7 linked regions of the Macaca mulatta genome follow. The protein of the gene in region 3 interacts with the protein of the main gene of each other region in a pairwise test. Links are inferred from orthologs where the notes say so. Each region holds a gene or a part of one and is shown on either strand. Other genes may lie near its edges. The genes, in order: POLDIP3, RBM41, GOLGA2, SLX9, PPP1R16B, TBP and SYT6.

What was found.
Region 1: the proteins of GOLGA2 (region 3) and POLDIP3 interact in a two-hybrid assay, tested with the Homo sapiens proteins (2 studies listed by BioGRID and IntAct). The two-hybrid records come from large-scale screens. The link is inferred for Macaca mulatta from reciprocal best matches to the Homo sapiens genes GOLGA2 and POLDIP3.
Region 2: the proteins of GOLGA2 (region 3) and RBM41 interact in binary tests that used the Homo sapiens proteins (3 or more experiments, as listed by UniProt). The two-hybrid records come from large-scale screens. The link is inferred for Macaca mulatta from reciprocal best matches to the Homo sapiens genes GOLGA2 and RBM41.
Region 4: the proteins of GOLGA2 (region 3) and SLX9 interact in binary tests that used the Homo sapiens proteins (3 or more experiments, as listed by UniProt). The two-hybrid records come from large-scale screens. The link is inferred for Macaca mulatta from reciprocal best matches to the Homo sapiens genes GOLGA2 and SLX9.
Region 5: the proteins of GOLGA2 (region 3) and PPP1R16B interact in binary tests that used the Homo sapiens proteins (3 or more experiments, as listed by UniProt). The two-hybrid records come from large-scale screens. The link is inferred for Macaca mulatta from reciprocal best matches to the Homo sapiens genes GOLGA2 and PPP1R16B.
Region 6: the proteins of GOLGA2 (region 3) and TBP interact in a two-hybrid assay, tested with the Homo sapiens proteins (2 studies listed by BioGRID). The two-hybrid records come from large-scale screens. The link is inferred for Macaca mulatta from reciprocal best matches to the Homo sapiens genes GOLGA2 and TBP.
Region 7: the proteins of GOLGA2 (region 3) and SYT6 interact in binary tests that used the Homo sapiens proteins (3 or more experiments, as listed by UniProt). The two-hybrid records come from large-scale screens. The link is inferred for Macaca mulatta from reciprocal best matches to the Homo sapiens genes GOLGA2 and SYT6.

The regions. Positions count from the first base shown.
Region 1 is NC_133415.1:8,891,158-8,894,657, reverse strand, and holds part of POLDIP3 (polymerase delta-interacting protein 3), read right to left. Parts: intron 2,583-3,500; exon of another isoform or gene 2,511-2,582; intron 1,161-2,510; coding exon 1,031-1,160; exon of another isoform or gene 612-1,030; intron 176-611; exon of another isoform or gene 104-175; intron 1-103. UniProt on the Homo sapiens protein: Is involved in regulation of translation. Is preferentially associated with CBC-bound spliced mRNA-protein complexes during the pioneer round of mRNA translation. Contributes to enhanced translational efficiency of spliced over nonspliced mRNAs.
Region 2 is NC_133426.1:113,883,803-113,887,302, reverse strand, and holds part of RBM41 (RNA-binding protein 41), read left to right. Parts: intron 1-672; coding exon 673-1,076; intron 1,077-3,500. UniProt on the Homo sapiens protein: May bind RNA.
Region 3 is NC_133420.1:19,421,875-19,425,374, reverse strand, and holds part of GOLGA2 (golgin subfamily A member 2), read right to left. Parts: intron 3,374-3,500; coding exon 3,323-3,373; intron 3,235-3,322; coding exon 3,141-3,234; intron 3,045-3,140; coding exon 2,938-3,044; intron 114-2,937; coding exon 55-113; intron 1-54. UniProt on the Homo sapiens protein: Peripheral membrane component of the cis-Golgi stack that acts as a membrane skeleton that maintains the structure of the Golgi apparatus, and as a vesicle thether that facilitates vesicle fusion to the Golgi membrane.
Region 4 is NC_133408.1:2,573,597-2,577,096, reverse strand, and holds part of SLX9 (ribosome biogenesis protein SLX9 homolog), read left to right. Parts: intron 1-1,246; coding exon 1,247-1,362; intron 1,363-3,500. UniProt on the Homo sapiens protein: May be involved in ribosome biogenesis.
Region 5 is NC_133415.1:91,672,496-91,676,592, reverse strand, and holds the start of PPP1R16B (protein phosphatase 1 regulatory inhibitor subunit 16B), read right to left. Parts: upstream 2,801-4,097; 5' UTR 2,705-2,800; intron 1-2,704. UniProt on the Homo sapiens protein: Regulator of protein phosphatase 1 (PP1) that acts as a positive regulator of pulmonary endothelial cell (EC) barrier function. Involved in the regulation of the PI3K/AKT signaling pathway, angiogenesis and endothelial cell proliferation.
Region 6 is NC_133409.1:1,477,876-1,480,512, reverse strand, and holds the end of TBP (TATA-box-binding protein), read left to right. Parts: intron 1-681; coding exon 682-776; intron 777-1,457; coding exon 1,458-1,537; 3' UTR 1,538-2,137; downstream 2,138-2,637. UniProt on the Homo sapiens protein: The TFIID basal transcription factor complex plays a major role in the initiation of RNA polymerase II (Pol II)-dependent transcription.
Region 7 is NC_133406.1:126,143,492-126,146,991, forward strand, and holds part of SYT6 (synaptotagmin-6), read left to right. Parts: intron 1-408; coding exon 409-580; intron 581-1,800; coding exon 1,801-1,951; intron 1,952-3,500.

The sequences.
Region 1 (3,500 bases), on a different chromosome or scaffold from region 3:
AGACCAGCCTGGCCAACATGGTGAAACCCCATCTCTACTAAAAATACAAAAAAATTAGCTGGGCGTGGTGGCGCATGCCTGTAGTCCCAGCTACTTGGAAGGCTGAGGCAGGAAAATTGCTTGAACATGGAAGGCAGAGGTTCCTGTGAGCCAAGATCATGCCACTGCACCCCAGCTACAGAGAGAAACTCAAAAAAAAAAGAAAAAGAAAAGTATCTTTCCACATCCAATATGACAAAATAAGAAAAAACAAGAGAAATTTAAAATTTAAAACAAAATTAAAAATAATTTTTTTTAATGACATACAAATGGCCAATAAGCACATGAAAAGGTGCTCAACATCATTAGCCACGGGGAAATGCAAATCAGAACTCCACTGACTCACCCAGGGGAGTTCACCCAGGTGCCAAGATTTAGCCAAGGCTCTAGGTCTTTTATTTGTAATTTTTTAATTGTTGTATTGTTTTATTAGTCTCTGCTTCTCCACTTCTAGCACAGGGCCTTGGTCCACAGTAGGCACTCAATACATACTGAAAGAACAAATGAGTAGAAAAGGAACATGGCAGACAGAATTCTTCTCTACAGGCTCTCTGGAGATGAAAAATACGAACCTCAAGTCAATAAAGTCTGTTGTTTACCCACTAGGAGCAGCTCTCACCCAGGAGCCAACATTCAGACCAGACTCCAGGGCTTTGAGGAACGTCTGCCCTAGCACTAAGCAGATCAACATCTGGGAGGGAACGGCTGTGCCTCTTGGCTTCCCTGCAAAACCGCTTAAGAGAACCATCCACAGAGAAACGCTGTTTTCCTTTTTGCTGGGCTCAAAAGCTTAAGGGCTGGGTGAAAATCCAGGGCCCTGTGTAACCCACGGCTCAGGACTACTCAGAGACTGCACAGCAGTTCCTGGTGCAGACGAGGCCCCGGAGATGGGTTCCACCCATCTCAGAGAGACTTCCCCTGGAAAGCCTGCTACCTGACAGCAAGTAGAGAGGAGTGGGAGGGTCAGAGGGCTGCCTTCTCCCTAACTTACCGTCCAGACACCGGTTGTTGTACTTCTTATATGCGGTGATGGCATCGTCCTTCTTCACAAACACCACCTCTGCTACCCCAGGATGGACCAGTCGAGCTCGCTTGAGGGCCCCACACACACAGAAAAGTTCCTGCACACAAGAGGGGTTGGGATTAGGGAAGGATTTCTCACCGCCTGCCACTCACACACTCTGAAGGCCCTGGGGTGTGGGCTCCACTGCAGCTAAATATGCCCCTGTGCCTGAGACTGCAGGGAGGTTCCACGTTAGGTGGTGCTCTTGAGACATCCATAGGCCTCAACACAGCACCAGATGAAGTCAGCAGTGGGAAAGGGGCTGGGTTTACAAGCCTTGGATCACCTGGGATCTCCCAGCAAGCCACCACCAAAGTCTTCAGTGCTCACCTCAACAGGGATAAAATAGTTATGAAAATTTTCTCAGAGAGCCCTGTCATGAGAATACATGTATACAAAGAAGGACAGCTGCTAACATGTCACCTGATAATCTGTTAGAAATACAAATTCTGAAGTTCTACCCAGAGTCCTGGTTTGGCTGGATTGAAGGGTTTCCCTAGACATAAGACTTTGAGTGATAAAACCAGGAGAGTCCCTAGCAAAACTGGGACAGTTGGTCACTCTAAGTCAGACCTGAGTTTGATTCCCCAGGCTTTGCTTCCTATCTGCTATGCGACATCTAGCAAGTTACTTAACTTCTCTAAGCCTGTTTCCTCTTCTGAAAATAAAAAGAACTAGCTTACTTTCGAGGGTTGCTGGAAAGCTCAACAGAGATCATTTTTAAGCAGTGCTTTGCACACATCATTGACTCCAATCTCCACCCCATTTTACAGACAAGACAATTAAGGCCAGAGAGGGAGCAGAATGTGAAGACAGACAGAGCCTGACTAGCACTCACACCATTTCTTCACCTGCAACTGCCTTCACAAGGTTGCTGTGAGGGCCAAAAGAAGGTTTATGAAAAGGTCCTTGACATGATTTGATTTACTGGTAAATATCAAAACAAGACGTCCCTCTGCACCTGCGGGAGACTGGCTCCAGAACCACTCACAGATACTAAAATCTGTGGATGCTCAAGTCCCTGCTATAAAATGCTGTAGTATTTACGTATAACCTATGCACACTGTCCACTATACTTTAAATCATCTCTAGATTACTTACAATACCAATGTAAATGCTATATAAATAGTTGTTATACTGTATTTCTAAAATTTGTATTATTTCTCATTATACTGTTATTTTTAAAAATTTGAATATTTTCATTCAGTGGTTGGCTAAATCTGCAGATGCAGAACCAACAGATATGAAGGGCCAACTATAAATAGTAGGTGTAATTCCAATTTTATTTCCATTGTCCTTTTAACATTGCCTATTTGGGTAGAAGAGGAGAGAGGATGATTATTACTGGCAATCTCCCCTGAGTGCTGATCATGACTGGTGTTCAGTTTTCCACCATTATATATCTCCCAGGAGTCTGCCTAAAGTGACTGGCACATAGCAAGTACTCAATAAATGGCAGTCGTTATTACGCTTATAAACAGTTTTAATTCTTTCCTTTTTTTTGAGACAGAGTCTCACTCTGTCGCCTAGGCGGGAGAGCAATGGTGTGATCTCAGCTTACTGCAACTTCCACCTCCCAGGTTCTAAGTGATTCTCCTGCCTCAGCCTCCCGAGTAGCTGGGACTACGGGCACGCACCACCACGCCTGGCTAATTTTTCTATTTTTAGTAGAGATGGGGTTTCGCCATGTTGGCCAAGCTGGTCTCGAACTCCTGACCTCAGGTGATCCACCAGCCTCGGCCTCACAAAGTGCTGGGATTACAGACGTGAGCCACTGCACCCAGCAATCAGCTTTAATTCTTAATGACTTGTCAAGTATTACACAAAACAAGCTACAATTTCCATCCTCACGTGCACCATTCACAGCACTGTCGCTGTAAAGGAGAAGGGCGTATGAGGGACCCATTTCACAGCATGTGTGTGTTTCATAATTAAGATTTAACCTAGGCCAGGTGCGGAGGCTCAAGCCTGTAATCCCAGCACTTTGGGAGGCTGAGACGGGCAGATCACGAGGTCAGGAGATCGAGACCATCCTGGCTAACACGGTGAAACCCCGTCTCTACTAAAAAAATACAAAAAACTAGCCGGGCGAGGTGGTGGGCGCCTGTAGTCCCAGCTACTTGGGAGGCTGAGGCAGGAGAATGGCGTAAACCCGGGAGGCGGAGCTTGCAGTGAGCTGAGATCCGGCCACTGCACTCCAGCCTGGGCGACAAAGCGAGACTCTGTCTCCAAAAAAAAAAAAAAAGGTTTAACCTCAGCTGGGCTGGGCACAGTGGCTCACACCTTTAATACCAGCACTTTGGGAGGCCAAGGCAGGCAGATTATAAGGTCAGGAGTTCAAGACCAGCATAGCCTACATGGTGAAACCCCATCTCTACTGAAAAATACAAAAATTAGC
Region 2 (3,500 bases), on a different chromosome or scaffold from region 3:
CTGATATTTAAAAATTAATGTAAATAGACACATGTGACTAGTGGCTACTGTATTAGGTAGCATAGTTATAGATTATCTGCCAAGAAATAGAAGGGATTAAGGAACAAGTTAAACAGCACCATCAGAAAATGATTAGTCAAATTCATTTGTTCATAGAACAAATGTAGTTTATTTAATCAATGGATGAGTGAGAAAATGAAATAGAGAGGTGGGAGAGATGAGACACTGTTTTAGAATAAAAGAATCTTAAGAGATATAACAGCCAAAGGCTATTTTAGATTTTGAATTGAATAAACAAGTATAAAAAAATTCTTTGACGGAATCAGGACAATTTGAACATAACATTGGTATTAGATGATACTAAGGAATTATTAATTTTGTGAAGTGTAGTGCTATGTTGCTTATTTTTTTTAAATGTCCTTATCAATTAGAGGTACATATATTTGCATGACCCTAGGTGCCTCACTTGCCTCACCATAGTTCTGGCCTATAGTTTTGCTTGAAATATACTGTAATAAGATAACTATTTACCATTGTCATTTGTCACAGGTTGTAAAGACCTGCCCCAGCAGTGTTTCTTTATCTGAGGTCCAGGATTTAATTTTTATTAATTTGTCAAAAGTTGTATTGGTAGGCTTTGTAGAACTTCCCTATCTCTTTGTCTTGATCCAGATGAACCCCAAAAGAAGAACAAAGGTGATCCCATGAACAACCTGGAAAGTTTTTACCAAGAGATGATAATGAAAAAACGTCTTGAAGAGTTCCAACTTATGAGAGGTGAACCCTTTGCTTCCCACTCACTGGTCTCAGCTACATCAGTGGGTGATAGAGTCACAGCTGAGAGCCCATCATTACTCCAGGACAAGGGAAAACAGGCAGCACAGGGTAAAGGCCCCAGTCTCCATGTGGCAAATGTTATTGATTTTTCACCTGAGCAGTGTTGGACTGGGCCTAAGAAGCTGACGCAGCCAATAGAATTTGTCCCAGAAGATGAAATCCAGAGAAATCGTTTGTCAGAGGAAGAGATCCGAAAAATTCCTATGTTTTCTTCATATAATCCAGGGGAACCAAACAAGGTATAGGCCAAACCAAGTAAAACAACCTGGGTTGATTTCACTTTTATTTACCTCTACCTAAAGTAATACTTTTAAATTAGCTTTGATTATACCAAAGAATCATGATATAGGCACAGTGATTGTGTTTGTCCTTGACCTTGACTATTCATTCTCTGCATACTATATAAGTAGCATATTTCCTATAAGGTTCTTGGTACTTTGCTAAGGTCCTGAATTACCCTTAGCATTTTAAAGAAATGTTGATAAGACTCTAGTCCATACCCATTAGAAGCCCCGAACTGAAGGAAAAGTAACCTCCAATTTCCTACAATGTAATAATAAAATAGTGTTCATAGGACCACCATAGCTGGTAGCCATGGTGCCTCTGGAATTAGCCAATAATTGACTGCCTGGTTGTGAGTAGGGTATATGCTACCACATGAGTCTTCTCTTCAGAATGCTCTACCTGGCTTTCATATGACATATGACTTAAATTGCTGTTGGCAAAGCAGCAAAGTGAAAAAGGTCCTATAAGCTTTAAGAAATTGTCCAACAAGTCTGGGCGTGGTGGCTCATGCCTGTAATCCAAGCACTTTGGGAGGCTGAGGCAGGCGGATCACAAGGTCAGGAGTTCGAGACCAGCCTGACCAACATGGTAAAACCCCATCTCTACTAAAAATACAAAAATTAGCCGGGCGTGGTGGTGCGTGCCTGTAATCCCAGCTACTCAGGAGGCTGAGGCAAGAGAATTGCTTGAACCTGGGAGGCGGAGATTGCAGTGAGCCAAGATCATGCCACTGCACTCCAGCCTGGACAACAAACCGAGACCCCATCTCAAAAAAAAAAAAAAAAAAAAAAAAAAAAAGAAATTGTCCAATGCATAACTAAATAACGTTGTAAATAATTCTTATTTTATTGATCAAATCATTATTTCACATTCATGTTATATGTTACATCTGGAATGGAAAACTCTTCGTTACTGTGTTACCCAAAGAGACAACACAAGCCCCTGGAGCATATAGTTTGTTGTGTCTAATTTAAAAAACAAAACCAAAAATATAATGTTAGTTTTTGACTGTCTCTGAATTAAAAAAAAAAATCATTCTAGATGAGGGATATTAAAACAGTTTATTTGACTGACTGAATTTCTAATAGTTCAGGGGTATTTATGCTATTAGTTCAAGAATAGCTTGGTTTTTATTTACTTTTTGTTATGAAATATTAATATACCAAAAGTGATATAGAATAATATAGCAAATACCTGTGTAGCCAGCCAACTTTTATTAATCATTGTCAAGTCCTAATATTTTCTGTATTTGCTTAATTAAAAAAAATAAAGCATTATAGATATTCCTGAAGACTTCCACATATTCCTCACCAATCCCATTCTCCTTTATCCTTTCCAGATGTAACCACTATCCTGAATTTGCTATTTATAATTCCTATGCCCATTTTTATATTTTTACTACATAGCCATATATTCACAAATAACATACGGTTTTATATGTTTTAAAAGTATATAAATGACATACTCTATCATTCTACAACCTTTTTGACTCGATATGCATAATGCTTTTGAAATTTATTTCTAAAGATACAAGGAACTATGTAGTATTCCATTGTAGAAATAGACCATCATTTATTATATTTATCCATTTTCCTGAAGATTTGTTCTTTCTGTTATTTTGCTGTTACAGTTAATTCTGCAACAAGTATTATTGTACATCTCTTGTTGTGCATATGCCAGACTTTTTCTAGGACAGTGTTTTTCAAACTTAGGTTACAATTAGTAGGTTACAACCAATGGGGTTTTGTTAATGAAATGGAATAGAATAGAAAATATCAAAAAGTGTTCCATACAGTATGTTAGGGTAATTACTGTTTCTTAAAGCTTTTATTTTATATGTGTTTGTGTATATGTGAGATAATGTGTGTGGGACCACAATGAAGAATGCAGTTCTTCCTGTAGATCTCAATCAAAAGTGTTGGGAAGGTGTCATTCTATTACAGTGTCTCGAATGTTAGTGTGCATCAGAATTGCTTGGAGGGCTTATTAAAGCATAGATTGCTAGACTCCACCCCCAGAATTTTTGACTCAGTAGATCTGGAGTGGGGCCTGAGAATTTGCATTTCCAACAAGTTCCCAAGAGATTCTGATCCTGCTGGTCTGAGAGTAACAATTTAAGAATCATCGTTCTAGGTTATATACCTGGGAGTGGAATTGCTGTGATATATAGGGTGTGTATATCTCAATTTCTAATGGAACAAGGTTTCAGAGATCCTCTTCACATTCTTGCCAAAACTTTGGAGCATTAGACTATTTTGCCAGCCTTATCAGCTTGAAAAGATATCTCACTGTTTTAATTTGCATGTTTCTGATTTCCAGTGAGGTTAAGCATGTATTCTTAACATTTATTAGCCTTTCAGGAACTTTCTGTGAGTTAC
Region 3 (3,500 bases):
CACCACCCATGCTAAGGGCCCCCAGACCTCCCATCCCACCATCCCCAGTCCTACGTGTTCTTGTATAACTCCAGCCTGAGGGCATCTCTCTCTTTGGTTAACTCCTTGTTGTACTGTAAACACAGAAAGGTTAAGTCAGGATATAGCAGGCAGAGGAGCAGCTGGCCGACCAGTAACAATAGCTACAGTAACTACTCCACAGTAACACTTCTTCACTCTCAATCACACTTGACATGTTTTCAAGGCATTTCCAAGCCCATGGTCTCATTTTGTTGTTGTTGTTGTTTTTGAGACAGAGTCTCGCTCTGTCACCCAGGCTGAAGTGCAATGGTGAGATCTCAGCTCACAACCTCCGCCTCCCAGGTCCAAGTGACTCTCCTGCCTCAGCCTCCTGAGTAGTTGGGACTACAGGCACACGCCACCATGTCCGGCTAATTTGTTTTTGTTTTTGTTTTTCTGAGACGGAGTCTCACTCTGTCACCCAGGCTGGAGTGCAGTGGCGCCATCTCTGCTCAATGCAAGCTCTGCCTCCCAGGTTCACGCCATTCTCCTGCCTCAGCCTCCTAAGTAGCTGGGACTACAGGTGCCTGCCACCATACCTGGCTAATTTTTTTGTATTTTTAGTAGAGACGGGGTTTCACCATGTTAGCCAGGATGGTCTCGATCTCCTGACCTTGTGATCCACCCATCTCAGCCTCCCAAAGTACTGGGATAACAGGCGTGAGCTACCACGCCCAGCCTAATTTTTGTATTTTTAGTAGAGATGGGGTTTCACCATGTTGGCCAGGCTGGTCTTGAACTCCTGACCTCAAGTGATCCACCCGCCTCAACCTTCTAAAGTGTTGGAATTACAGGTGTGAGCCACCGTGCCCAGCTGGTCTCATTTGTTTTTAAAAGAACTTGGTAAGGGTGGCCGGGCGCGGTGGCTCACACCTGTAATCCCAGCACTTTGGGAGGCCAAGGCGGGTGGATCACGAGGTCAGAAGATCGAGACCATCCTGGCTAACACGGTGAAACCCCATCTCTACTTAAAAAAAAAATACAAAAAGTTAGCCGGGCGTGGTGGCGGGTGCCTGTAATCCCAGCTACTTGGGAGGCTGAGGCAGGAGAATGGAGTGAACCCGGGAGACAGAGCTTGCAGTGAGCCGAGATGGCACCACTGCACTCCAGCCTGGGTGACAGAGTGAGACTCCGTCTCAAAAAAAAAAAAAAAAAAAAGGCCGGGCGCAGTGGCTCACGCCTGTAATCCCAGCACTTTGGGAGGCCAAGACTGGCGGATCACAAGGTCAGGAGATCGAGACCATCCTGGCTAACACGGTGAAACCCCGTCTCTACCAAAAAAATATCAAAAACTAGCCGAGTGTGGTGGCAGGCGCCTGTAGTCCCAGCTACTTGGGAGGCTGAGGCAGGAGAATGGCCTAAATCCGGGAGGCGGAGCTTGCAGCGAGCTGAGATCCGGCCACTGCACTCCAGCCTGGGCAACAGAGCGGGACTCCGTCTCCAAAAAAAAAAAAATACAGAGCTTGGTAAGAGTGGAAGGGACAGGAAAAGACAGTGAATTTATGTATGTATGTATATATGTATTTATTTGAGATGGAGTCTCCCTCTGTCACCCAGGCTGAAATGCAATGGTGCCATCTTGGCTCACTGCAACCTCTGCCTCCCGGGGTCATGTGATTCTCCTACCTCAGGCTCCTGAGTACCTAGGATTACAGGCATGCACCACCACACCTGGCTAATTTTTGTATATTTATTTATTTATTTATTTAGAAACGGAGTCTCCCTCTGTCACCCAGGCTGGAGGGCAGTGGTGTGATCTCGGCTCACTGCAACTTCCGCCCCCGGGTTCAAGCAATTCTCCTACCTCAGCCTCCCAAGTAGCTGGGATTACAGGCACCTGCCACCACACCTGGCTAATTTTTTGTATTTTTAGTAGAGACAGGGTTTTGCTATGTTGGTCAGGCTGGTCTCAAACCCCTGACCTCAGTTGACCTGCCCACCTCGGCCTCCCAAAGTGCTGGGATTACAGGTATAAGCCACCACACCTGGCCAAGATTGAATTTACAGCTGGCTAACAGAGGCCCAGAGAGATCAGATAATATTGCTATTGTTATTATCATTATTACTACCACTGTTTGAACCTTTATTGAGTGTTTCACCAGGCACCATGCTAATAATCCCATTTAATCCTCATAACCACCACATGAGACAGCTCACTGCAATATTATTACCTCTATTTTGTAGATGAAAAATATGTAGTATTAGAGGTTAAGTGTTTGCCTAAGATCACTTAGACAGAGCTGGGATTTGAATAGCCAGGTATATCTGACTCTCTAAGTTCATTTGTTCCCTGGGGGTGGGGGCACAGATAGGAAGAGGGAAATTAATCTTTTGTTCAATTTTTGAAAGGATCATACATTCGCATTGTCCAAAACTCTGAAGGTACAGAAGGGAAATATCTTCCAGCCATGCTGCTCCTCTCTCCTGAGTTTTTTATGAATCCTTGCAGACATGTTTTATGTATATTGTCACAGTACATATGTACAGACACACGGACACACACACAGACACACACACACACGTTCCCTCTCTCTACACAAATGGTAACATACTAAAGATACTCTTCTGTACCTTCACAGAACAAATACCACATTCCCCAACCTAGGACTTGGCCAAGGCCACAGCTAGGTAAGGGCAGGGCGGGCACTTGGCCTCTGAGCTCTGTGTCCAGTGTTCACTCCTCACAGTGCCCCCCCACCCACCCACAGCAGCTGACTCAGCCCCAGGATGCCTCTAACAACCACACACAAAAGGAGTGACAAATGGCCCATGCTGCCTTCTGGGCAGGACACTCAACCCTGCAGAAGAGACCTTTAGGCTCACTCCTCCACCTGGGAAGCCAGGCTGCCAGGGTTCGGGGCAGGCAGTTGGACTCACCCTGTCTGCTTTCTTCTGCTGCGTGGAGACAGCAGAGAGAGCCCGCTCCAACTCTCCCACACGCCTCCGGGAATACTGCAGGCGACTGGCCAGATCTTCGGACTCTCCTGGAATGAGAGAGGTTGAGATGGGGTCCAAAGGACTCACCCTAAAGGCCTGTCAAAGTGCCAGGTTGAAGGATGATGGGGTGCCCAGATTCCCACCTTCTTTCTGCCTGGCAGCATGCTGAGTGTGAGCCAGGGCTGTCTGTAACTCAGCTTTCTCTGATACGAGGATCCCTATGGTCTGAATGTGAACCTTTGGGAGGAAACCCAAGCAAGTGCTGAAAAAGAAGGAAAGAAACATTCTCCAGAGGACAGGGCGGAACTTCACCCCCTCCACTCACCTGTAACTGCTCCCTTAGGGCTCCCTGCTTTTGGTGGCATTCTTTCTTTTCCTACAGGAAGAGGAAGACAGAGCTCTTACTAGGGGGAGGCAGAGATGGCACAGCAAGGGACATGCCCCCAGAATGCCACCAATGCCCCAGGACCGGCCCACCCATGGGACCAGGTTATCAGGGACCC
Region 4 (3,500 bases), on a different chromosome or scaffold from region 3:
AGGTTGAATGGAGGTGGTTGTGGAAAACTAAACCACGTGGGGAGGCAGGCTGCAGGACGGGAGGGGTTGTGTTCACCAGGTGTGTCTGTACAGAGTGCTTTTGGCTCCTCTCATCCGTCCCCGATGATAAGAATGTCGCTTTCCTTCTGGTGTAGGAGGGCATTTTCCACATGGGGATTTTATCTTCTTTCAGGAAAAACGGAGGGGGTTAATGTGCCCTCTTGGTACCTGCTATATTTTTGAGTGCCTTTAGCTCAAAATAATTCTTTTGCCAAAGTGACATGTTTTGGGGTGGCGTATTCTTTTTTTTTTTTTTTTTTTTTGAGACAGAGTCTCGCTCTGTCGCCCAGGCTGGAGTGCAGTGGCGCAATCTCGGCTCACTGCAAGCTCCGCCTCCCGGGTTCACGCCATTCTCCTGCCTCAGCCTCCTGAGTAGCTGGGACTACAGGCGCCCACCACTGCGCCCGGCTAATTTTTTGTATTTTTAGTAGAAACGGGGTTTCACCGTGGTCTCGATCTCCTGACCTTGTGATCCGCCCGCCTTGGCCTCCCAAAGTGCTGGGATTACAGGCGTGAGCCACCGCGCCCGGCATGGGGGTGGCGTATTCTGACGCCCTTCAGAAACCTCTGTTGAGGTCGGTGCTGCCTTCCCTGCCAAGGTCAGTGAGGCTTGCACGTGAATGGGCCAGGCAGCACGGGGGTCAGGGACTGGGGGTTCTGTCTTCTCGCAGTGTGGTCGACAGCTGACTTGGAGGAGCTGAAATCTTCATGTAGGGATGAGTGTGGCTCAGAAACAGACCTGGCAGAGAGGCCGCTGAGATGACTGGTTCTGATGGGGTGTGGTCATTCTGAGCTGAAGGGGCTGGCAGGCTGGGAGCTGCCTATCCTTCATCTGCTCAGCTGCAGGTTTCTTCTGCGACACAGGAGGATGTTGTGGAAAGAGTAAGACGAAACGGTTGGGCAAGAAATTTGGTTCTTGAGATACTGGTCCTGACTCCTGAAGCCCATCTGGTGATTTCAGGCAGGGAGCAGGTGGGCCTGGGTGCTGCGGGTCTGCCCTGGAGCTCTGGGGCCGGAGGCTCCTGCTCTGGGAGGTGAGGGCTGTTTCCCCCAGGTCCTCCCAGGCAGAGAAGCTGGGGAATCCGGGTTCTTGTCCTCCGTCTTCTCCTCACCTTTAACTTCCCTCTGAAACCACAGAGCAAGTCTCACACCGTTTTTTTCCTTCCTTTTTTGTTGGGGACATTAGGACTGGGCGTTCATCAACACCAACATCTTTGCCAGGACCAAGATAGACCCCAGTGCCTTGGTGCAGAAGCTGGAGCTGGACGTGAGGAGTGTCACTTCCGTCAGGAGAGGTGAGCAGTCTTAAGTGCGTGGGTTGCCATGCTGATGCCCAGCAGATCTGGGATCACTCACTCACACACCCGAGGTCTCAGCAGCTTTCCAGCTAACCTGTACCTGACAATGTCCTTGAGCAAGGGATGCCCCTGGCTGTTTGTTGGGGTGATTCCCCAGAGTAGATTGCAGCGGTGGTTTTGCCCCTGGGCTGCATCTTGTCCCCCCAGCTACGCAGGGACTGCCCTGCATCCTGGCAGCAGCGCTAAAGCCACAGGAACTTGGGCTTCTTTGGTGACCAACAGGGTTTGAACTCTTTTCTCCGTGTGTGCTGATTCTCATGGTCTGTCTCTATGTTTGGGGCAGTTTTGATCCCTTTTCTTAAACAAGTGCTTTATGTGTTGCAGAGGTTAGCTGTTTATCATTTTGTACAAATAACTCGTTAGGGTTTAGATCCTGAAGCCCAAGTGGGGTCTTGTCAGTTTCATCAGAGCCACGTGCAGCCCTTCCCTGTCTCCTGATTATACTCCTTGCAGCCCTGCAGCACACACGTCAGCCTGGCCAGGGAGAGGCCCGGGAATTCGCACTCACTCCAGTGTCTGGAGCTTAGCAGGGAATGCAGTCCCCTGCACCTCCTACTGAGCCTGAGGTGTTCTAGAGAGTTCCAGGCCTCCATGCTCAACGCCAGGAGTGTTGACTTTCTGGCTGGAGGATGGTGACACAGTGTCACTCCCAGGGATAAATCCAGGAAAGAGCTTCCTTCACTCATCTAAGGTAGTCCATGAGGGCCACAAGGAATACTTTTTACATCTTGACAGCCTCAGAGAGCCATGGGTTGGGGAGGGAGAGGGCCTGGCTGTGGGTGCAGAGCTCAACTTTTTACATCTTGACAGCCTTGGAGAGCCACGGGTTGGGGAGGGAGAGGGCCTGGCTGTGGGTGCAGAGCTGGGGACACCAGTGTGACAGTGAAGACTGCACTTGACTTCACAGTCTGCAGAGCTGGGAGTGCCAGGACAGGGCACGAGCCAGGTCTGGGGCCTGTAGGCAGCCCCTTGAGAGCGTGGCTCTGGGCCTCTGCTCCTCACCGCCTGGTAGCCTCTGGCTGCACACTTGATCACTCTGGGCCTGGGTTTTGCATCTGTCAAAGGTGGTAACAATATTTATCTCCTAAGTTCTGGCAGTTTTGAGGTTGAGATGAGTTAGTTGGTGTGAAACGTTTAAAACAGTGCAGTGAAGGCCGTGGAGGTGTCCGCTCCGCATCTGTTGAGTGAGGCTGGTCTGGCGGCAAGGCTGGGGATGAGTGGGTTTTGCAGCTGCCCAGAGGTGGCCAGCCTTAATTCCTTGGGCGTGTCGTGTGATTGTGGTTGCTCTCTGACCCTTAGCTCCATTGTCCACAAAGCGGCGACAGACATAGCTCATGGGTGCTGAGGGCTTCACTGTGCCTCTGGAAAGATCCAGGTACATTTAGCCAGTGCTGGTTTCCTGCGCCTTCTCTCCAAGGAGGACCTGGTGAGGTGACCAGGCCAGGTAACTCCAGAGAGAAGCTGTGCCTTCCAGCCAGAAGCCTCGATGTTGTGGGTGGTCCACCCGAGCTGTGCGCTCCCTGATTCCCGATGAGGCCACTGAGGCTGTCCCCAAGGGGAGGGGAGTCATGGGTCTCACTGACCTGGCTCTGGCCTGAGCTTCTCAGAGAAAGCCTCTCTTTCACACAGCGGCCTCTTTCCTCTGCCTTTTCTTGGCCCTCTCCCTTCAACCCCTGTGACTCATCTGGTCCCCAAGGCCACCTGCTGCACTGACCCTCACGTCCCCTCTTCCCCTCCTAATTGAGGGAGGCGTCACGCTCACGACCCCTCTTGCCTACCAGGGAAACTCCTCATTAGCAGCATCTGGCCTCGCAGTGTTCTTGGGCTGAGGTCACGCCCAGCAGCCCTGTGGCCTCTCCTTTGAGCCACCCTGGATCTTCTGGTTTTGTTTGTTTGTTTGTTTGTTTGGAGACGGAGATTTGCTCTGTCACCAGGCTGGAGTGCAGTGGCGTGATCTTGGCTCACTGCAACCTCCGCCTCCTGGGTTCTAGTGATTCCCCTGCCTCAGCCTCCCGAGTAGTTGGGACTACAGGCACATGCCACCACGCCCAGCTGATTTTTGTATTTTTAGTAGAGATGGGG
Region 5 (4,097 bases), on a different chromosome or scaffold from region 3:
ACTCAAGACAGTGAAGGTTTTCCTGGTCTCTGCTGGAAGAGTGCCAGTTGGGACCTACTGTTCAACAAATGTGACAAGTGTTCTGGGTGCAGGAAGGGTGGTGGTTAGGTTGCAAAAGGGGAGGGAAAGGTTGGGGGGATGGGGTCCTGAGAGTCCAAACACGGCACCTGAATTCAGGTATGTGCCTCCTGCCTTCTGCTAAACCAGGTTGGCTGCAGCCTCTGTTGCTCCTCTTGGGGCATGGAGCTGGTTTTGAGAGGAGCTGAGCCCCAGTTTTCCCATCTGCAAAATGGGAATCAGTAATGCCTACTTCATGGGGTTGTGAGGATTCTGTGAGGCCATTACACATAGGCCTAGTTTCCAATGGTCTTAAATGGGCTCTGCAGAAAGGAGAAAGGTTCTGGCTTTAAGGAAAAACCACCTCCCTACATCAGCATCCTCTTAGTCCTGTGGCTCAAGCTCCTGAAATGACTTAACAGCCAGATTAGAATTTAACTTCCGCTCCACCGTCAATTACCAGAGAGAGCAAAGTCTGAGTGGGCACAGGGCCTTGCCTACCACGTCTTTCCAGGCCACGGATGATCTGGAGAGCACAGATGGCACGGGGCCCTTGACACATGAACCACAGAGCCACTAATGAATGCCACGGTGGTAGGAGACCAAAAGAGAGGAAAGAAGACATTCCAGAGGCTGGGAAGAGCTGGGGCCAGGAAGGTTCCAGGACAGGGGGACACTGTTAGGTAGACCCCAATAGACAAGTAGGTACAGAGTTGATGGTCCAGGGTGGCCTGGTTGACACCTTGCCCCCAGCATCCTGGGGACTCAGCCAGGAAGATTGGATTTGGGTGACAGGTGGGAGAGAAGGGCATGGGAGATTTGTGTGGGAAGGGCCGTGTGAGCAGGCAGCCGGCTGGAAAGATTTGCTGGCCCCCACCGGCCTCCTGCAAGCTGGCTTTTTATGACAGAGCTGGTGGAGGAAGATGTGGAAACTCCCCCAGCCCCTGCAGAACCACCCACCAGGGCTCCACTTCTGCACCTGTCTAAGAGAGACACGCCCCACTCATAGCCAATCCCGAGGGCGGCCAGTATTGGCCAAGGAGTGTTCATCCTCCGGCTCTGCTGCACCCAGCCTCTCCCTCATCTCCCCACAGCCTGGCGGCTGTTAGCCCCAGTTTCTTAGAGGCAGTTGAGACTCCAGAGGCCAAGTACTTTGCCCACGAGTAGACAGCTAGTCGCTGGCTGAGCTAAGAAGCTTTATTACCAGCCTTGGAGGAGGCCTCCTAGATGGAGGGTTTTTCTCCAGTGCTTCACCAGCCGCAGGAAATGGCAGAGTACACAGGGAAGTACCCCTGCGGACTGAGGCCGCCATCGGCAGGCCCTTTCCAGGGAGAGCCCTGCGGGAAAGGGCGCCTGGTACCTCCGGGCCCCGGGTCCTCCACAGAGGGTGATTCAGAGGCGACACCTGGTGCCCCGAGCCGCGGAGAGCTGGGGGGCGCTTCTGACAGTGAGAACAGGGGCCCTTTATGTGAAGTGCAATCACATGGGCGCGCAGGCAGCTCGGTTTTCCGTTCCTAGAAGCGCTGATGAAGCCACATCCCTCTCCCTCCGCTCCTGAGGTGCCCGGGAGCACCGGGACCCAGGCCTGTCGCGCGGCAGCGGCGCAGCCCTGGGGTCTCGAGAGGGCCAGATTCAAAGCTCTCCCAGGCTCAATTATCCACCAAGGGCTGGGAGCTGCATCATCAGCATCTCCAGTGAAGCTGGAGGCCAGGCCGGGGAGGGGGAGCGGAGGAAGGGAGTCTGCATGGGGGAAGGAGGCGGGCAGCGAGCGCCTGCCCCTCCCCGCTCTCCACCCGGGGCGGTCTGGGCAGCTCAGTCTGGGCACTCCGGGTGACCTTGGCGAGACCCCTCTGGGCGACCTCTCTGGGGCGCTGCACGTCTCTGCCCATCCTCGGCGCTCGGGGGCGCTCCTCCCGGCCTGAATCGATAAGCGGGAGTCGCCCAGAGGGGAGAGCTCCCGGCGCGGGGGACCCAGCAGCCCGCGCACGGGGCCCTGGGAGAGGCCGGGCGCGCCCCTCCCGGGGAACTACCAAGCGCCGGGTCTCCCCGGGCTGACTGGTGCTGTCAGCTCGATCCTGAGGCGGGGCGGGTCTGCAGGCGGAGGCGCCTGCTTTGGGGACCTTTCCTGCCCAGGCAGGAGCGCTCTCTGTGCCCTGCCGCTGCCCGCGGGGACCAAGCCCCGCCACGCGAGGGGGCGGCACCTCCATGCCCGGCCGGGAGAGTGGGCGCGAGGGGGTTGTTTGTTGTCCGCTGTGGCTCCCGCCGCCCGGCATTGCACCCCCAGCAGACGGCGGCCCACGAGCCTAGAACCGACGGAGGACCCCACCTCCCCGCCCTAAGATTGGGCCACGACGGCCGCAGCCAACAACCTGCCAATGCGCCCCCTCCCCTGGCCTCGTCAAGGAATTGCGAGGCCGGGGAGAACGCCCCCACTCCAGCCCGACTCCCGGATCCAGCGCCCTCGGTACCTGCCTTTCCAGAGTCCCCACACTCCCATTTATATCTTAAGCTACCGTCCCTTGACCAAAGCGCCCTGGCCCCCAGCTAGGTGATCGGAGGCTGGGACCACCTCCCCGCCCCATCCTCATCCCCCGCCCCGCGAAGCCGCAGAGGGCAAGGAGGGAGGCGGCGCCGCCGGGGAACTCACCAGCTCTCCCGAGCCCTGCCCCGGGCGGCTCCCGACCCCGGCTGTGTCTGTGGGTCCCCGAGCCGCAGCTGCTCCAGCGGCGACAGAGCCGGCTCTGCTCCGCCGCGAGCCTCCGCGCCGCCTCTCGGCTCCTCCCCCAAGGCGGGGCCTGAGCTCCCGGGACTGGGGTGGGCGCGCTCAACCCCATCCGGCTTGGGAGGCAGCGCGGGACAGGGTCCCGGCGCTCTCGAGGGTGGGGACCCCTCTTCTGAGCTGCAGGAAGTTGAAACTGGTTGGGACGCGGCCAGGCTTCGGAATAGTTTTCCTAATGCTGCCTCCTCCTCCAAAATAGTTTTCCTAACCCCCACCCCGACCATGGAAAGAGGGAAGCCAAGGACGGTATCCCTGCTCCCATTTGACAGACGGGAATCCTGAATCCCAGAGAGGAGTAGTAACCTGCTCAAGGTCACACAGAATGAATTCCAGGAACTCAGGGTTCCTAGCTTGAAGTACCGCGCGGCCTGAGTCTGAAGGCTTCCCAGGAGGTCCAGGGGCCGGCCCTGGCCTTGCGCTGGGGACAGAACTGTGGGGCCAGGTCGCCCAGCTGGCGGGGGCGAGACATGGGGGCTGTGGCCTGCGGCGTGGACTCGCATCATTTCCTCTTTCTGGAAAGAAGGGAGGTGAAGCGCTGGAGGAAGGAAGTGGTCGTACCTCTGCTGACGTCTGCCACCCTTTGAGGTGTGCAGGATGAAGATAGGGGCTGCTTCCCTGAGATTTCACGCTAAAAATAAAAAGCAAAACATACCCGGTGACTTCTGTCACCTTATTCAAGCCTCTTTCTGGGGCTGAAGGCCTCTGCGCTCTGTGCACCAGCCTTTCTTTACATCACAATAGGTTTAACTATTTAAGTTGCTGAGAGTCAACACCCCCTCACCCCCCACACCCCCCCACCGCCACCGTCACCACCCCAGGAAGAGAAGAGAAAGTTCATAAACAAAGCGGAGAAAACATCCCCAAACATTCTCTGGAATCCACATTTGCTGAACCCTGGCCTTAGAACAATAGGTTTCTCTTCTCCACAAAGGCTTTGTTTCCTGAGCTTTCCCGGCCTACAGATGAGAGCCCTAGGCACCCTAGGGCCAGCCAGCTGGGGAAATTCAGAGTTTAAGTTTGGGGAGTTTGGGGATGGTACCCAGTTAATTTAATTCTCAGCTGTCATGTTTGAGGAACTCTCCTGAATCCCTTTTTTTTCACTACCAATGTTCTTTTGAGACCACCAGCATCACCTGAGTTTAGTGATTTTGTGTGTGCTCAGTCAACTTTCTTGGGGGAGAGAAAATCTGTGGGTTGAACTTGTTCCAGGCCCCCAGGCCCTCCCCAGGAACTGTGCGAGCCCCCTTGGTTGGCTCCCTGG
Region 6 (2,637 bases), on a different chromosome or scaffold from region 3:
ACACGCCTGTAATCCCAGCTACATGGAAGGCTGAGGCAGGACAGTCACTCGAATCCAGGAGGCGGAGGTTGTAGCGAGCCAAGATCGTACTACTGCACTCCAGCCTGGGCAACAGAACAAGACTCCGTCTCAAAAAAAAAAAAAAAATTACACACACACACCCCCCAATAGTCCATTCAGTCAGACAGCTCAATCAGGTATAGGTTAATTCTCAGGCTAGTATATCAGAGTGATTGAATTTCCTGAACACAATTGATAGCTAGAGAATATTTCAATTTAAGGTGAGATTTGATTAAAAGTTATAGTATCAGATCTTAGAAGTAAATGATTATTAGGTAGGTAATAGTAATTATTAGGATTGTAAAAGTAGGTGATTATTATCAGAGACTGCAGACATAACTACAGGGCTCTTCTTAAATCAGAAAATCCAGACTCAGTAGAAATGGGGTAAAGTGATAGGAGGGCAAATAGCCTCCCATCCAATGGTTATCAGCTGATGGCTAAAAGTTGGCCTCACTTGCTTTAATTATTCTATCCTTTGATGCTGCTTGAAGAACTGTGCTTTACCTCTTGACTAGTTTGCTTGTTTATTCAGTATTTTTCCTTGTACAGGTTCTCATTTTATTTAAAAGCACACAAAGCTCTTAATTTCTAAACTGTTTTTTGCAATTTTCCTTCCAGTTATGAGCCAGAGTTATTTCCTGGTTTAATCTACAGAATGATCAAACCCAGAATTGTTCTCCTTATTTTTGTTTCTGGAAAAGTTGTATTAACAGGTAAGTTGTAACAGGAAGTAGTATCTGAACGTTTCTGTTTCGAGTATGGCATTTTCTCAGTGCTGAAAAGAAATTTCAGTGTCGGGACAGTGGGCTAGCTTCTTGCACAAAGGCCTCCCACCCAAGTCTTATGAGAAACGTGCCCACTAAAGGCACAGTGAGAGCAGGGAAGTCTGACCACAGCCCTGCAAGCAGGTTTCCATTTACAGTCAGGAGGTGAGCACTGCATTGAATAGAAGATGGTGTTTTCACTTGGAATTAGTTATCTGAAGCTTTACGATTCTTCAGCAATATGATTATGAGACAAGAAAGGAAGATTCAGAAAAGAGCTTAGTTGAAGGCAGCAATTGGGAGAAAAAGATTCGGTTGTTATTGCCGTCCTGCTTAGTTTAGGGCCTGGTTCAGGACCAGGAGAGAAGTGTGAACACATGCCTCTTGAGCTGTAGAATGGATGCGAGATGCTGGAGTCACTAAGATGATTTTTTAAAAGTATCGTTTTATAAACAAAAATAAGTTTGTGACAAGGGGTTCCACCATTAATGTTTTCATGCCTATGCCTTAATCTGACTGGGTATGGTGAGAATTGTGCTTGCAGCTTTAAGGTAATAATAATTTTAACTTCTTAATATGTTAAGAAGTGCCATTTCGGTCTCTCATCTCTACTTCAACTTGTCTTCTTAGGTGCTAAAGTCAGAGCAGAAATTTATGAAGCATTTGAAAACATCTACCCTATTCTAAAGGGATTCAGGAAGACGACGTAATGGCTGTCATGTACCCTTGCCTCCCCCACCCACTGTTTTTTTTTTTTTTTTTTTTTAAACAAATCAGTTTGTTTTGGTACCTTTAACTGGTGGTGGTGTGAGAAGATGGATGTTGAGTTGCAGGTTGTGGCACCAGGTGATGCCCTTCTGTAAGTGCCCACCACAGGATGCCGGGAAGGGGCATTATTTGTGCACTGAGAACACCGCGCAGCGTGACTGTGAGTTGCTCATACTGTGCTGCTATCTGGGCAGCGCTGCCCATTTATTTATATGTAGATTTTAAACACTGCTGTTGACAAGTTGGTTTGAGGGAGAAAACTCTAAGAGTGAAAGCCACCTCTACAATTGATTGGACTTTTTAATTTTAATGTTTTTCCCCATGAACCACAGTTTTTATATTTCTACCAGAAAAGTAAAAATCTTTTTTAAAAGTGTTGTTTTTCTAATTTGTAACTCCTAGGGGTTATTTCTGTGCCAGACACATTCCGCCTCTCCAGTATTGCAGGACAGAATACATGTGTTAATGAAAATGAATGGCTGTACATATTTTTTCTTTCTTCAGAGTACTCTGTACAATAAATGCAGTTTATAAAAGTGTTAGATTGTTGTTATGATACCTTGTAAGAGTCATGTGATCATACTGTTTTCTAAAAAGTTGTATTTTAGATATAATGCCTGAAACCATTTTGGTGTCTGCTTGTTTGTTTCAGTCAATATTTCATTACATGCTTCAATGAAAGCAAATTAATGATCAGAACTCACAGTTGCTCAGGAAACGTGTATTTATTACCTTCTATATATTGAGCAACTCCTGTTTTCTAGGTACTTTCCATACGGTGCCTGGAATCCTCACAGAGCTGCAGTCAGGTTTTGTTCCTCTGTTGGAGGTGAGGAGATAATGGCCCCCGCTGAGACTTGGCTGAGGTTACACAGTTAGTAAGTGGTAAAAATTAGTGAGTCCTTCAGGTGTAGAAGCTGATGCCCTCTCCACAGGCTGCCAACTCTCTGCAGTAACTTTTTTTTGCTTGTTTTGTAGTTTTTTTCTCATGGAATATCAGGTGGACATTTGTGGGTTCTTAGGTTTCATTGTTAGGGTGGTT
Region 7 (3,500 bases), on a different chromosome or scaffold from region 3:
CTCAAGGAAAAGCACTCCTCATAGGTGAAAGAAATAGTGTCATTGTTCAGCCTCATCACCCTTTTGAGTCAGCCAGTGATTGACGAGCTGAGATTTAGGGCTGTGAACTGCATACCTGTCGGCAGGTGCCACGTCTGATTTGGGGCCAGCTTCCCCATTAGTAAAAGTCCATTAGGCGCTCTCCCAAGAGTACTGAGGTAGCTAAAGACTCTGCATTTATTAAGCACAGAGTGTCCTCAGAGACAGGTGTGCTACATAAATACAAGGTGGTTTAATTATTTTAACAACCCACTGATACCATCTGATGAGCAGCAGTAGGTCTAGGGCTTCAGTCCCTTTGCTGCAAATGATGTTTGCAGACATCTGTTAACACACTCCATTCCCTTTCCTCTGTCCCCATTGGCACAGATCCCTATGTCAAAGTGTCCCTGCTTTGTGATGGGCGGAGGCTGAAGAAGAAGAAAACAACCATAAAGAAAAACACACTCAATCCTGTCTACAATGAGGCCATCATCTTTGACATTCCCCCGGAAAACATGGATCAAGTCAGCCTGCTCATCTCAGTCATGGACTATGATCGGTAGGTGGGCGTCCCAGAAGGATGTGATTCCACCCCTCACTCCCACTCCAGCACCAGCACAGGGCTCCTTGACCTTGTGATTCAGGGCTCAGCTTCGGGGTTCAGGCCTCAACTCTATCTGTACCCAAGAAGGGTACAGGAGTTTGAGGAAGATCATGGATTCTCCCTTAGCAAAGGTTCAAAGTTCTTTTCCCAACTGGCCTATTTCCATCAGGGGCGGCTCTATCCATCAGTTTCCCTGAATTCACCCCTTGCTATTCCCATTCTTCCATCTGGCACCAAGTCCTGTTATCTGGCCTTCGAAATGCCCCTCTATCCTCTCTATTTCTGCTGTTGCTATTACTGTCACCCTGGGATGGCTGTGCAGCCTCCTAACTGACCCCTGCCTCCATCGATTCCTGCCCCAATTCGGTCAACATACTAGGGACACATCTTCCTAAATGACAGCTTTCTTCCTGGACCCGCCCTTCTAAAGAACCATCAGTGGCTCCTGTGATCCAGGCTTTTCCCTTGGACTCTCACGGCCTTCCCTCATCTGGAACCAGCATATCCATCCAGTCGGATCTCCCCTCTCTCAGATATTTTTCTTCTCTTCCATACCTCCTGCTTTTCCATCTAGGCTGGCTCAGAAACATTTCTCAACTGCTCCAGCCCCTATAACTCCTTCTCTCCAGTTGTCACTTTAGCTAAAGAAGAAAGAAACCATGCAATAAAGCCTCAATACAGGACTTTTAGCCCAAGTTCTCAGGCATAGTATTGACAAACATACCTAAGGGATAATTGATGTTCTTACCTAGTGAATAAATCACATTCCAGCCACGGGGGTTTTGGAGAAATGGTGCTCAGAGACGGTCGATTTATTTGCAAATACTGATGTCTCAGTGAGGTTGTAATGTGTTGGCAGGGTCAAATAAGTGAAGAGACTTAGACTCTCTCACCTCCCAAACTCAGGCTGTCTGCCCACCATTTCTTGAGATTCCAAACAGGTTTATAACCTTTGCTTATCTGCCTGTGTCTAGTGTCCACTGAAGGGGACCAGGCAAAGGCTTCACTGCCACTGACACCCAGAAGCCCTGCCAAGCATCTGTTTCCAGAGCTCAGAGTTCTGAGTTAGACCCATTGGGCAGAGTCCTACCATGCCCCCCCGCCCACCCGCGCTGGACCTCCTTGTCTGAGGGCATGTCTGGTAGCCAATGCTGGGACTTTTGTTTCTCCCTCAGAGTGGGCCACAATGAGATCATAGGAGTCTGTCGTGTAGGGATCAATGCCGAAGGCCTGGGTAGGGACCACTGGAACGAGATGCTGGCATACCCCCGGAAGCCCATCGCACACTGGCACTCCTTGGTGGAGGTAAAGAAATCCTTCAAAGAGGTGGGTGAGGTCGCCTGGCCCTTGGCATGTTTGCTGCATGGCAGTGTGGGCTGGAGAATGGCAGTCGGCTGCAGTGACACCTTCAGCCTTTTGTGGAAAGGTGGGCATGGGGGCCACATGCTTCTTACCCAGCGTGTAATAGGCCAAAAGGAAACAGAGGAAAAAGGTGGAGTCCACCGACACAAAGCCTCTGGTGTTGGGCATTTTGAAAGCAACACTGAGTTCGTAATGGAAAGCAAGAACTTTGAAGAAGACTTCCCAGCAGACCACTGTGCCAGGCCTGAAATGCTTTCACAAAGCCCTTGGCCAAGTTGGTCCTTTAGGAGAAAGCCCCAAGCGGGTGAGATCACAGCTTGGCAAGACATTCTACCCCTGTCAGAACAGTAAGTTCCCTGAGGCTCAAGCGAGGCAGTCACTTGGCAGTTTTCACTGCTTGGATGGAGATGCCAAAGAGCAGATTCCTCCTCTTATGAATGTTGGTTCTCGCCCTTGTTGGGGAAGGGAGCATGACCTCAAGGTGTCAGGCTTTCTGGCTAAAGCTGTGGAGCTGGGTTGCGTTGGGTTCTAACAGAGACGTAATGGAGAGAGCACTGGGCTGGGAGTCCCGAGACTTGGGCTCCAATCTTGGCCCCTCCTGACTTACTGTATAATCTTGACCCTGTCACTTCTCCCTCAACTGCAAAGAAAATATCCCTTTGAGTGATATCTGCAAACTTCTCCACCCTCCACTGAATCCCACTGACTTAGGATCCTGTATTCTATCACCCTGGTGGTCCCCAGGCCTGCTTTTTCTCAAATGGATTGGAAGTGTGGGTGACCAAACAAGGCTTAAAACTCACTCACAGTATCTCATGCCTTGGTCTGTATCCTAGAAAGCTGGGTGAATATTCTGTCATCTTAACAGGCTTCAAACCTAACAAGTCTAGAGAGCTGTATAAATTGGAAATTCTACTAATACAAAATAAAGCTTTATCCTTTTCACTGCATGGCCCCTCAGCTTAAAATCGGAGTCACCTTCAAAACAGAGTCATCCCCTCCCCACACTCTATGATGCAGAGAAGTCAGGTCGGCAAACCTAGAGAACCCACCGGCTCCCTGCCCTCTCATGGAGGACAAGCCCATTTCCAGCTGTTTCTGGCAGGGTGAGGTGTCTCAGGAGAGCCTGAGAGCCAAGGGGATTGGACCTGTGGAAACACGGGTGATAGGGACCTCGGTTGGTGAGGGGGCAGGCTAATTGATTCACCTCCCCAGACAGGTGGCGTGTGCTCTGTGCAGCTCCTGCCCTGTGACCTTTGAGGCGGCATCAAGGGGTATAAAGAAGCAAAGTTTCTGGCAGTTGAGACCTCATATTTCTATCTTGTGGGTGACTTGATTTTCCCATAGCTGTGGACCTTTAATGAGTGAGGCCAGTCCCTCGGCTCTCAGCTCCCCCAGAGGAGCCCCTGCCCCTCTTTTCCAGAAAGCCCTTTCTGCAGAGTGTGGGTGAGGAACCCACAATACAGGAGGCGTTGCTGGGCAGAACGCTAGACAACCTGCAGACAGCATCCAG